Linked DNA regions of Macaca mulatta. Each later gene encodes a partner of the first gene's protein in a complex. Links are inferred from orthologs where the notes say so. Each region holds a gene or a part of one and is shown on either strand. Other genes may lie near its edges.

Region 1 (4,058 bases):
TATAACCTGACTCTACTAATGGGGAAACAAAAGATAAATCCAAAATGAGAACCAGTCTATTAAAATATCATATGAAAACAAAAGAGGGCTGTGAAAATCTTCCAGGATAAGAGATAAAGAAAGTAAAACCTAACATCATAAAACTTAAGAAAATTTAGGGGGAGGTCAGGCCTGGTGGCTCACGCCTGTTATCTCAGCACTGTGGGAAACTGAGGCAGTAGAATTGCTTGAGGCCAGGAGTCCTAGACCAGCCTGGGCAACCTAGTGAGACCCTGTCTCTACAGAAAAAAACAATTTAAAACGACAGGGAAAAATATTTGTGACCTAGAATTAGTCAAAGGTCTTTTAGATAGGACGCATGAAGCACAAATCCACTTAAAAAATTGATAGACTTCATTAAGAACTAAAAAATTGATAGACTTCATTAAAATTAAGAACTTCTGTACTTTGAAATATACTACTAAGAAAGTGAAAACGCCAGCCACAGACTGAGAGAAAAATATTTGCAAAACTTGTATCTCAGAAAGAACTGATATCCAAAATACATAGAACATTTCCCACCTCAATAAGAAAATAACAAAACAAGCAACTGTATTTTTAAAAAATGAACAAAAGATTTAAACAGACATTTCATCAGAGATTAAAACATAGTTGACAAACACATGAAAAACTGCTTAATATCTTTGATCATTAGGGAAATTCAAAATTAAAATCACAATGAGCCTGGGCACAGTGGCTCACACCTGTAATCTCAGCACTTTTGGAGGCCAAGGCGTGGTAGTGGATGCCTGTAGTCCCAGCTACTCGAGAGGCACGAGAATCGCCTGAACTTGGATCACTTGAAACCGGGAGATGGAGCTTGCAGTGAGCCAAGATCTGCGCCACTGCACTCCAGCCTGGGCAATAGAGCGAGAATGTCTCAAAAAAAAAAAAAAAAGAGAGAGACAATGATAATTAAATGGAAGACCTGACTCTAGATTTGATCCAGGAAGGGGATAAAATGCCATAAAGTACATTATTATTATTAATTCTTTTTGTTTGTTTGTTTTGAGACGGAGTCTGGCTCTGTCGCCCAGGCTGGAGTCCATTGGCGCCATCTCGGCTCACTGCAAGCTCCCCCTCCCGGGTTCACGCCATTCTCCTGCCTCAGCCTCCCGAGTAGCTGGGACTACAGGTGCCCGCCACCACGCCTGGCTAATTTTTTGTAGTTTTAGTAGAGACGGGGTTTCACCGTGTTAGACAGGATGGTCTCCTGACCCCGTGATCTGCCCGCCTCGGCCTCCCAAAGTGCGAGAATTACAGGCGTGAGCCATCGCGCCCGGCCAAAGTACATTATTGAATCAGTTGACATAATTGAATTACGTACAGTAGATTAGGTAAACGTATTGATATTAATGTTACTGAGATTGATAACTGTACTGTGACTGTATAACATGATATCCTTATTCTTAGGAAATACACACTCAAGTATTTAGGGATAAAGGGCTATGATGTATATAAGTTGGACCCTTAAGATACCCTTAAGTTTCTATCATACTTTGTGTATATATGTACATATATATACACACAGAGCACATAAGTAGTAAAGCAAATGGGATAAAATATTGACCGTAGGTACATCTGGGTAAGGGGTATAAAGTGCTTTATATGTTATTTTTATTTTTGTAGTTTATCTGAGAATAAAATCATTTCAAAAATTTAAAAGAAAGTTATTAGCATTCCACTTGTAATGTTTTCCATAGAACTTCTGGTTAAGGGAGAGATTTCCTCAGAAGACTTAAACTGAATATGACCCTTTTCAGCTGGAAGACCTTGATTCACAAGGGGGAAATCATCTTCAGTTGAATTGGATGATCAAATGAGACAAAATCTTTTCTTAGCCGATTAGCTTTCTCTACTTTCTTCCACAAATGCTCTTCCTTCCCATCCTCCCCAACTGTCAATTAATGAAAGCTACATGTGAGCAGGCTTCCCACCTTTTTCAATTCAAGCTACAGTGGGTTCTTAAATGCTCAATGAGTGTCAGAAGCAAGTAATATACTCAGAAGATGAAATTTTCACAAAAAATGAAAGTTTTACTAAGGTATCTTGCTTCACTTCATCAGATCTGGGAGCACAGATGGTATATTTGGACCAGTTAAAAACCCCTGGAGTTATTCGAAACAATATAGAGAAAAGAGGAAGCAGAATCCCCACAGCAAGAATGAAGATTCAGACTGGCTGATAACTGGAGGGAGCTCAGGTGGGAGTGCAGCTGCCGTATCGGCGTTCACATGCTACGCGTAAGATGCTTTTCTCTATCTGTATTTTAAAACCCACCCATATACAAACAGTCGTAAAGTGTGTCCAGCAATAGACTAGTTCATACCTCGGTATTTTTCTTTTTAGTGAGCTGTATGTGCTCAAAGGTATATCAAAATTATATCTTGTAGTTGCACTCAACTGTACAGTACACTATGTATATTTAATACTTTTAATTTTAATTTAAGATAAATTTTTCTCCATGGTATCTGGTTCTCTTAAAATATGATTTTGTGGATCTTGTAGAATAAAGCATTGAACATAAATGAACTTCATTGCATTTTATTTTTAAATAATTTCAGTGTGTGCTCACTGATTGTACAAATATTTAGGGACTAACATACAATGACTTTAGTTGAGTGCTGCTGAACTAAACTGTTAGTAATGTTTATCCTTCAGCAAGGTCAGACTTTTGAAAAAAAAAAAAAGGAAAAAAAAGAAAAAAAATGCTAATATGTATTAATAAGATATTTTAAATAGTGTTTTCAGAAATCTGCAATTAAAAATGTACATCAGTAAGTAAAGTTTTCTCAAGCTTTAGGAATTTTTTTTATTGTTATTATTGGAGTTATTTTATTTCTGTACTTTGTATTTTATTTTATTTATGTATTTTTATTTCTGTACTTGGCTCCTCCCTCCTCCCAGCTTTAGGTGCTGATTCTGTTTATCTATCATCCTTTGTATTTGGTAAGAATCCATTGATGATATTTTCAGTTCCATTTGTAAAGCATTTCTTAACTACCCAAAGAAAAGAAAGTAAATATGGCCATTGCTATATTTATCAGTCTCAATTTAATCAAAATGAATGTGTTTCTTTAATAATAGTTTTATATTTTATCTCCCCTTAATTATCCATTAAAACTAAGTTCTTTCACACACATTGCAATCCATAAATTATTTATATATTTTTAGAGCTATGGAGATGTGAGTTCTGCAGATTTTTTTTTCAGTTTTCCTAAAATCTTATTAACAAGTAAAACCATTTCATTTGATCTCTGTGGAATTTTATAGCATTGCATTAATATTAATGTGAGTTATGACAAGTTAGGACTGCAGGATTAGGTGCTTTTTTTCTGTCCTCATCATCTCACTTAGTGTTCATCTTTCTGAATGTGCTTTGAGTAGATGGCACTTTGACACATAATTCCTATGGAAATGTAAGTTTTACTTTTACACAGCCGTCAGTGAATGCTAATAAGAAAATGTATCTTTTAAAATTGTGAAAGCAACAGTCTGATTTTGTAGCTTAACTTGACACTGTAAGGAAGGAAATATAATTTGCATTTTCTGAGTGCCATGTTATTGTTAGGAGCATTGTTCAGCCCAAAGCTTCACTTTAAATATAAGCAATAGAAGCACAGACCAAAAATAACTTCAGATTGAATGTATGTCAAACTGTAAAGTGTTCTGCTTTTGTTTCCCCCTTTTTGATTTGTTTCCCTCTTTTTGATTTGTTTCTTTTGCGATCGTTTTAAAAACAGGAAGATTCCTGGAGTACTATGCAGCCACTGAAAAGAATGAGTCAGAGCACCATGCAATGACATGGAAAAATAACCAAGATAAATATGTTAAGTGAAAAATAAGTCGCAGAATCCATTTCTGTTAAAAGTAACAATTGCATACATATATATGTCAGTCATTGCATAGAAGTACTGGATGTCTGGATGAATGCATATCAGAACTGGTAACAGTTATTGTGGGGGCTGTGATTATAAGAGAAATCTTACTTTATACATCATATAGTTATATGATATCTT
Region 2 (3,300 bases), on another chromosome or scaffold:
CCAGCAGGCTGTTTCTGGACTTTATTTAGTACTGTGGTTACCTCCTGCAGGCTGTGTGGCCCCATCCTTCACCAAAATGTCACCTCAATTAATTCAGTGGCCATGAGACAGATCCATCACTGGCCCTCCGATTCCCGTCAGCAGGCGCCCATGAGTGATGGGCATCTCCGCGCCTCCCGCGGCCCCCCTCCCGTGTGAAGTCAGCTGGGCAGGACTCACCATCCGTCTGGGCACGGGGGCACCTGGCTGGCCCGAGTCCTCTCATACCCTGTGCTGAGGGAGACGTCAGCCTCAGGAGGAGACCCCAGGCGCGTTCATTCCACCTAGCTGGCCTTGTTCCCCAGCCCTGCTCTCAGGGATGCCTCAGGAGAGCCAAGGCCCTGGCAGGGCAGCCAGGCGCCCTTTCCCTTCGGGCCAGGCCTAGGCAGCGGGGTCTTAATTGAATCTGCTCATTCCCACCCTAGTTCTACACAGCACGGCAGTGCAAATGGAGCTGGCAGAAGAGCTGACTTCTCATTTCTCTTTCCTCTCCCTTCTCTGGCCCGTAGGTGTTTGAGGAACTGTGGAAGAGGGAAGGCAAGACTCCAGGGCAGATTGTTTCAGAAAAGCAGCTTGAACTGATGGAGGACCGGGGGGCACTGGAGCAGCTCTGCCACTCCATGATGGAGGCCCATCCTCAAGTGGTGACTATCTCGGGCGGGGGAGAGGGTCAGAGCCACCTGCAGAGCCAGCCCCAGGACACGCCCAAGAGCCTCGCCATCACTCTCTGTGGCAGCCCAGAGGCTCTTCCTAAGAATGACTGGCCCAGTTTCATCTACAATTCCCTCATTGTCATCTTTTTATTTAAGGTCAGAAGAGATGAAATAGGTAGATATTGGAAAAACACAACTTCTTTTCCTATAAGGAGGATACCACCCCTGGAGTTTACTCTCCATGGAGGTGTAATTTAAAAGGGTGTCAGCAAGCTCACGAAATCCAAGCTGTGACCTCCCAGGTGTGTCGCCCTCTCCCAGGGTCGGCATTTCGAATCTGGTGTGGTTAGCGCTACTTCCTAAGGACCTCCCAGTAAGGAACCAGCAGGTGTGCCTGCAGATCAAGGAGAGTACAGGAACTTCGGCTTCATGCTTCTAAGAAGTGGGAAGAAAGGCAGAAGGGAAAAGTATTTATAAATTGTGGAGAAAATCCCTGACAGGAGCATGGCTGAAAACCAGGTCATTTTGTGTTCTTAGCACAGCACAAGACAGAAAAGCTAAAACAAGTGGCATCCCTTCCTCCCCAAGTCTTATCGTATTGTCTAGAGATACTTTTCAGTGGGGAAAAAAATTGTGAGCCACTTTCTCAGAATAATACCCACCCACCCATCAGCTTCCCGGGGACACTTACAGCTCTGTAGAGAGCCCTCGATAAGGAAAGTGAGCCTGCACCGGGCCTCAGCAGCCTCGTCTTCCTGCCTCATCTGTGGTGACTGATAAAGACGTGCTAGTAGTTTCAGGCTTGTTCTGCGGGACTTGAGTGCAGATCCTCATGTCATTGCCCTTGGAGATGCTGCAGAGCAGGAGGTCGTGCGGTGGCCCTAACAGTCAGTGGCTATTTGATAAGAATTCAGTGCCTCCTGGCTTCCTCACTCCCCCCACCCACACAGCACACTCCCCCGACCCAGTGCTCCGGAAGACTTAGCCAGTGTGTAGATCTGCTTTCTGATAAAGGGATCTTCGTGGTGGGGAGCACGGGGAGAAGGAAAGCCGCACATTTCAGCTGAACGTCACTGAGAATCAGACAGGTCTCCTCACTGATTAGATGCAGTGATTCATCTCAGAGAGATTATCCCTCCCCAGACTCAGTATCCTCCGGTCATTGTGGCATCCCAGAGGAGAGGGCCCTGCCTCCCACGTGCCAGCTTCTCTGGCTTTCAGCAATCACTTCTTGCTCATTTTAATCAGAAAGCAGAGTAGCAAAAATCTCCTTTGACAGGAGCCTAGAAACCTACTCAGAAGTTAGGCCCCTCCCCTTTTTCTGTTCTTCATTTTTATATCTAATACTAGTGGAAATAAGCGGAATTTAATTTTCAGTAAACGTAAGCCTTAGTTTGGGATTTGGGGGCATGAGTCTCTTCATTTTCTCCTCTTAAGTAATTTCTGTCTTTCTAGGTAATGGATTTGAAGAAGGGAAACCCCAGAGCTATAAATAAACTGATTGGGTTGGTCCGGAAAGCGACCCAAAGCCGAGCAGATCCAGCCATGATAAAGGAGATCCTGGAGAAGAAGCTGTCTTCGTGAGATGTTTGGGGTCCCCATGCCCAAGGGAGAACAGTGCAGCCTGACTGGCAGCAGGATCCTGTGAAAGCTGACGCCCATGTGCCCTGTCAGTCCCTGTCCCGAGCCACAGCTGTGGCGTTATATATCACCAGTGTTCTCACCCTCTGGGCCCTGTGCCTGGAGGTGCCTCCACAGCCAACCGGCAGCCACCCCCGCCTGCTTCATCCACATCAGGAGGGTCCGGTGATGGCTGTAGCAGTGGTTAAGGAGTAACACCTTCTTGTATTAAGGAATTTTAAACTAAATAAAATGTTATGTTAGAGATACTGTTACCCATTCTAAGAAAACTTTTCATTCTGCAGTTCCTTCAACAAATATTTTTGAGCAACTCCTAAGGGCCAGCCATTGTCGTAGGTGGTGGGCATTAGCAGTGGTCAAGAGAGACTGTAATTTGGATATACTGTTTTCAGACCTAAACACAGGTTAACAAAGATGAAAACACAACCAAATAAACTGGCACGGTATAAACACACATTTGTTTAAGGATGTCTCAAGAGGGTGGGAAAGGAGGATATTATTAGAATTAATCAACCTATTGACTGAATAGAAGTGATACTGCCTGTTCAACTCCCTACCCATCCCAGAAGGCGCAGGTCTGAGAATAAATGAATTTTAAAAAGTAAATTTTCAAATAAATTTAATCAATAAAATATATACTGAAATATCACATAAAAATTAACTTACACTTCAAAGATTGTGCAGTTGACAACTCTCCCCAACTCCCCCAACCCTCAGGCCAAACAAGATAAAAAGAAACAAGAAAAAAGTTGTAACATGAAATTGACTTGTTTTGCTTGGAAATAAGATTATAAATTAGTAAATCACAATCTTGACCTTTCACGATAATGGTGGTGCGCTGCAGGCATGACAATGAAGGTGGGACTGTCTGCACCCCTGTGCTTGTGACACATACTGTTCTCTCCACTGCACCGGAGCACACCTTCATTCGGTATATGCCTTTGTTACCTCTGACTCACGTCCTTAA
Region 3 (3,588 bases), on another chromosome or scaffold:
CGCCTGTAGTCCCAGCTACTCAGGAGGCTGAGGCAGGAGAATGGTATGAACCTGGGAGGCGGAGCTTGCAGTGAGCCAAGATCGCACCACTGCACTCCAGCCTGGGCAACAGAGCGAGACTCCGTCTCAAAAAAAAAAAAAAAAAGTTTAGCTTACACATTTTCTAGCTGCCTTTCCCATCCTTGCTTCAACCAGAGCCTGCCTTTAACTGGCACCTTGAGTTGACCAGGGCCAATGTCTTATGTGGAGTCTGCTCAGAATGATTCTCCCTCAGGGGATATGCTGAACTGGAAGTTGGCACTTAGCAGTCTACCTGACTGCTTTTGGCTAGTCCCACTCCCAAAGGCCCAGAGGGGTAGTACAACTCCAGTACTCACTTACCTGCAGAGGAGATAAAAACAGTCAACCTATCCAAGGTTCTGGATTTTACTGGTCAGCCCACATTAATTTTAAAGCTTCTATTTAAAATATTTACAGTAGGTAGATGATGCAAATCTCTACACCAGCAGTTGTAAACTGATGGCTCACAGACTGCACCTGGCTTGCAGGTGTGTTTTATTTGGCTTGGACGGTGAATTTGGCTTGAATTGGTTGCCAGCGCTTAAAATTTAAGAAATATCAGTGGGATGCAGTCGCTCACCCCTGTAATCCCAGCACTTTGGGAGGCTGAGGCGGGTGGATCACGAGGTCAAGAGTTCAAGACTAGCCTGGCCAAGCTGGCAAAATCCCGTCTCTACTAAAAATACAAAAAAATTAGCCAGGCATGGTGGCAGGCACTTGTAATCCCAGCTACCAGGCAGGCTGAGGCAGAGAATTGCTTGAACCTGGGAGGCAAAGGTTGCAGTGAGCCAAGATTGCACTAAAGCCTGGGCGACCAAGCGAGACTCCGTCTCAAAAAAAAAGAAAAGAAAAGAAATATCACACAAAATGCCAGGTATCCAGGTTCTCTGGAGAAATGGGTTTACATTCCTGCCTGGCACCACTGATAGGGTAGCAGCCATGCTCCTCCTGCTTTGAGTGGGCACAGACTGAGTGCAGACCCTAATGGCATTTGAATCATGTCATAGAGGGGCAAAGATATGACAGAAACAACTGGGCTAAGGCCGCACAAAAGATTCGTTTTGGGAGGCTGAGGTGGGTGGATACCTGAGGTCGGGAGATCGAGATAATCCTGGCTAACATGGTGAACCCTGCCTCTACTACAAATACAAAAAATTAGCCAGGCATGGTGGTGCATGCCTGTAATCCCAGCTACTCGGGAGCCTGAGGCAGGAGAATCGCTTGAACCCGAGAGGCGGAGGTTGTGGTGAGCCGAGATTGTACCATTGCACTCCAGCCTGGACAACAAGAGCTAAATTCCATCTCAAAAAAAAAAGGATTCTTTTAGGAAAGGACCGGTTATTTTGTGGCACCCAGCCCAAAGCTAGACCTAACAAATATTTATTCATGGTATGAATACTAGAAAGTTGGAGCCGATTACAGGATCTGGCATGGTCTTAACTGTGGCTTTGAGAAACACAGAATGTCAGCTGCCCCTTTAGGCAGATCTTGAGCTCCAGATTTCCATCCACTCTAAACCTTTACCCCACTTCCCCCCAATCCTGTTTTGCTTATTCCTGTTACTACCTGCCCCCTAGAGGTATAACCCTGGACCCTACCGCCACCTTAATGTCACCATCTGTATGCACTTTATCCTTTTCAAAGTGCCTTCACATAGCATCTTTGGTCCTCACGCTTCCTGCTTCATTCCTAAGGTCACTGTGAGACTATCTGTTAAACCACTCTGGGCAACACCTACCTGGGGGGGCCACAAAATACTCCTCCACGACTCGATGGGAGTTTTGTAGTAATTCATCAGCACAATTGCCTTCTACCACATTGTCGGATCTCAGGTATAGACATCTACAAAACCCAGAAGCTCAAGGTTACCCTCTCAGAGAAGGGGGCTTTTAGGGGATGGTGGAAGGGGCAAGAAGGAGAGAACAAGGAAGAAGTATATTCTTGAGTTAATGGGCACTGTTCAAAGATAGAGAAGCTGGGATCAACAGTAGACCAAATAACAGCGTACAGTTTATAGATTGTCCCAACAACCCTGAGAAGTAAGTGCTAATCACTTCTCTGGATTGATTTAACAAATAGTTTTTGATGATTATATGGGCAACTGTCTTTTGGTGGGGACAGGTAAAAGCAATTATAAAATAATATTTTAAATCTGACAGAAGTTAGCACAGCCTGCCAAAGGATAGAAAGGGTACCTAGTCTAGCCTGGGTGAGTAGCACATCCTCAGAATAGCTGGATTGGGGGATGAAGGTATGAGAAATGGACTTCTTGGCAGGTATAGCAGCATGAATCCCAAAGCAAGAGAACCCAGAGCTCAGAGATTCAGAGAAGGACAGGGAGTTCAGCAGGCTGGGGTGTGGTCTGCTGGGTTGGAAGATGAAGCTAGAAACCTAAGCAGAGATGGGGAAGCAAACTTGCCTCAAGAGTGACTTAAGGATGTTGGCTCCTAAGTAACAGACCTGGGATCTGAGCCCAATCTGGTACCCGTAAGATGAATGCTTTTTCCACCACAGCCCCTTTTTGGTGGATGGGTGCAGCTGCCCTTGAGCAAGATGTGTCACAAACAGCTCAAGAATCTCCCAGTGTTCTATGGGACCTAGTGAGTTTACTAAAGCCTTCAGATGGCAAACTGGTAAAAAACACACAGGAGCTTGAACATATGCATCAGGCTTCACTATTGTTTCAAGGTGTAAAAGTGTGTAAACCTGCTTCCAGATACTTGGACTAAAAAAACAAGCAGTTTGTTATATCACTGATACAGTATTCAGTAGTAGCTATGCTCCTGCTTTGAGTGGGCACAGACTGAGGGCAGACCCTAATGGCATTTGAGTCATGTCGTAGAGGGACAAAGATGTGACAGGAACATCTGGGCTAAGGCTACACCTAAAAACTAAGTTGTTGGCCGGGCACAGTGTGTCATGCCTGTAATCCCAGCACTTTGGGAGGCCGAGGCGGGCGGATCACGAGGTCAGGAGATCGAGACCATCCTGGCTAACATGGTGAAGCTCCGTCTCTACTAAAAAATACAAAAAAATTAGCCAGGCCTGGTGTCGGGCATCTGTAGTCCTAGCTACTGGGGAGGCTGAGGCAGGAGAATGGCGTGAACCCGGGAGGCGAAGCTTGCAGTGAGTCAAGATCGCGCCACTGCACCACTCCAGCCTGGGCGACAGAGCAAGACTCCACCTCAAAAAAAAAAAAAAAAAAAAAAAAAACTAAGTTGTCACAATAAGATTATTTTAGGAAAGGACTAGTTCGTTTTTTGTGTGGCACCCAGCCCAAAGCTAGACACAACAAATATTTATTCATGGTATGAATACTAGAAAGTTGAAGTCTGTTATACGACCTGGCATGAGGGACAAAGATGTGACAGGAACATCTGGGCTAAGGCTGCACATAAGAACTAAGTTGTCGGCCGGACGCAGTGTCTCAGGCCTGTAATCCCAGCACTTTGGGAGGCTGAGGCGGGCGGTTCAAGGCCACTGTGTAGCCTTGAACAAGTATGATCTTTTCATACATTAAATTTCTTG

The links. Proteins that work in one complex are often made in the same cells at the same time.
Region 2: QRSL1 (region 1) and GATB share a complex: the UniProt entries of both Homo sapiens proteins name them as parts of the heterotrimeric GatCAB amidotransferase (AdT) complex. The link is inferred for Macaca mulatta from reciprocal best matches to the Homo sapiens genes QRSL1 and GATB.
Region 3: QRSL1 (region 1) and GATC share a complex: the UniProt entries of both Homo sapiens proteins name them as parts of the heterotrimeric GatCAB amidotransferase (AdT) complex. The link is inferred for Macaca mulatta from reciprocal best matches to the Homo sapiens genes QRSL1 and GATC.

The regions. Positions count from the first base shown.
Region 1 is NC_133409.1:79,095,392-79,099,449, reverse strand, and holds part of QRSL1 (glutamyl-tRNA(Gln) amidotransferase subunit A, mitochondrial), read left to right. Parts: intron 1-2,105; coding exon 2,106-2,282; intron 2,283-4,058. UniProt on the Homo sapiens protein: Allows the formation of correctly charged Gln-tRNA(Gln) through the transamidation of misacylated Glu-tRNA(Gln) in the mitochondria. The reaction takes place in the presence of glutamine and ATP through an activated gamma-phospho-Glu-tRNA(Gln).
Region 2 is NC_133410.1:160,272,279-160,275,578, reverse strand, and holds the end of GATB (glutamyl-tRNA(Gln) amidotransferase subunit B, mitochondrial), read left to right. Parts: intron 1-548; coding exon 549-683; intron 684-2,147; coding exon 2,148-2,276; 3' UTR 2,277-2,587; downstream 2,588-3,300. UniProt on the Homo sapiens protein: Allows the formation of correctly charged Gln-tRNA(Gln) through the transamidation of misacylated Glu-tRNA(Gln) in the mitochondria. The reaction takes place in the presence of glutamine and ATP through an activated gamma-phospho-Glu-tRNA(Gln).
Region 3 is NC_133416.1:127,767,348-127,770,935, reverse strand, and holds part of GATC (glutamyl-tRNA(Gln) amidotransferase subunit C, mitochondrial), read right to left. Parts: intron 1,903-3,588; coding exon 1,799-1,902; intron 1-1,798. UniProt on the Homo sapiens protein: Allows the formation of correctly charged Gln-tRNA(Gln) through the transamidation of misacylated Glu-tRNA(Gln) in the mitochondria. The reaction takes place in the presence of glutamine and ATP through an activated gamma-phospho-Glu-tRNA(Gln).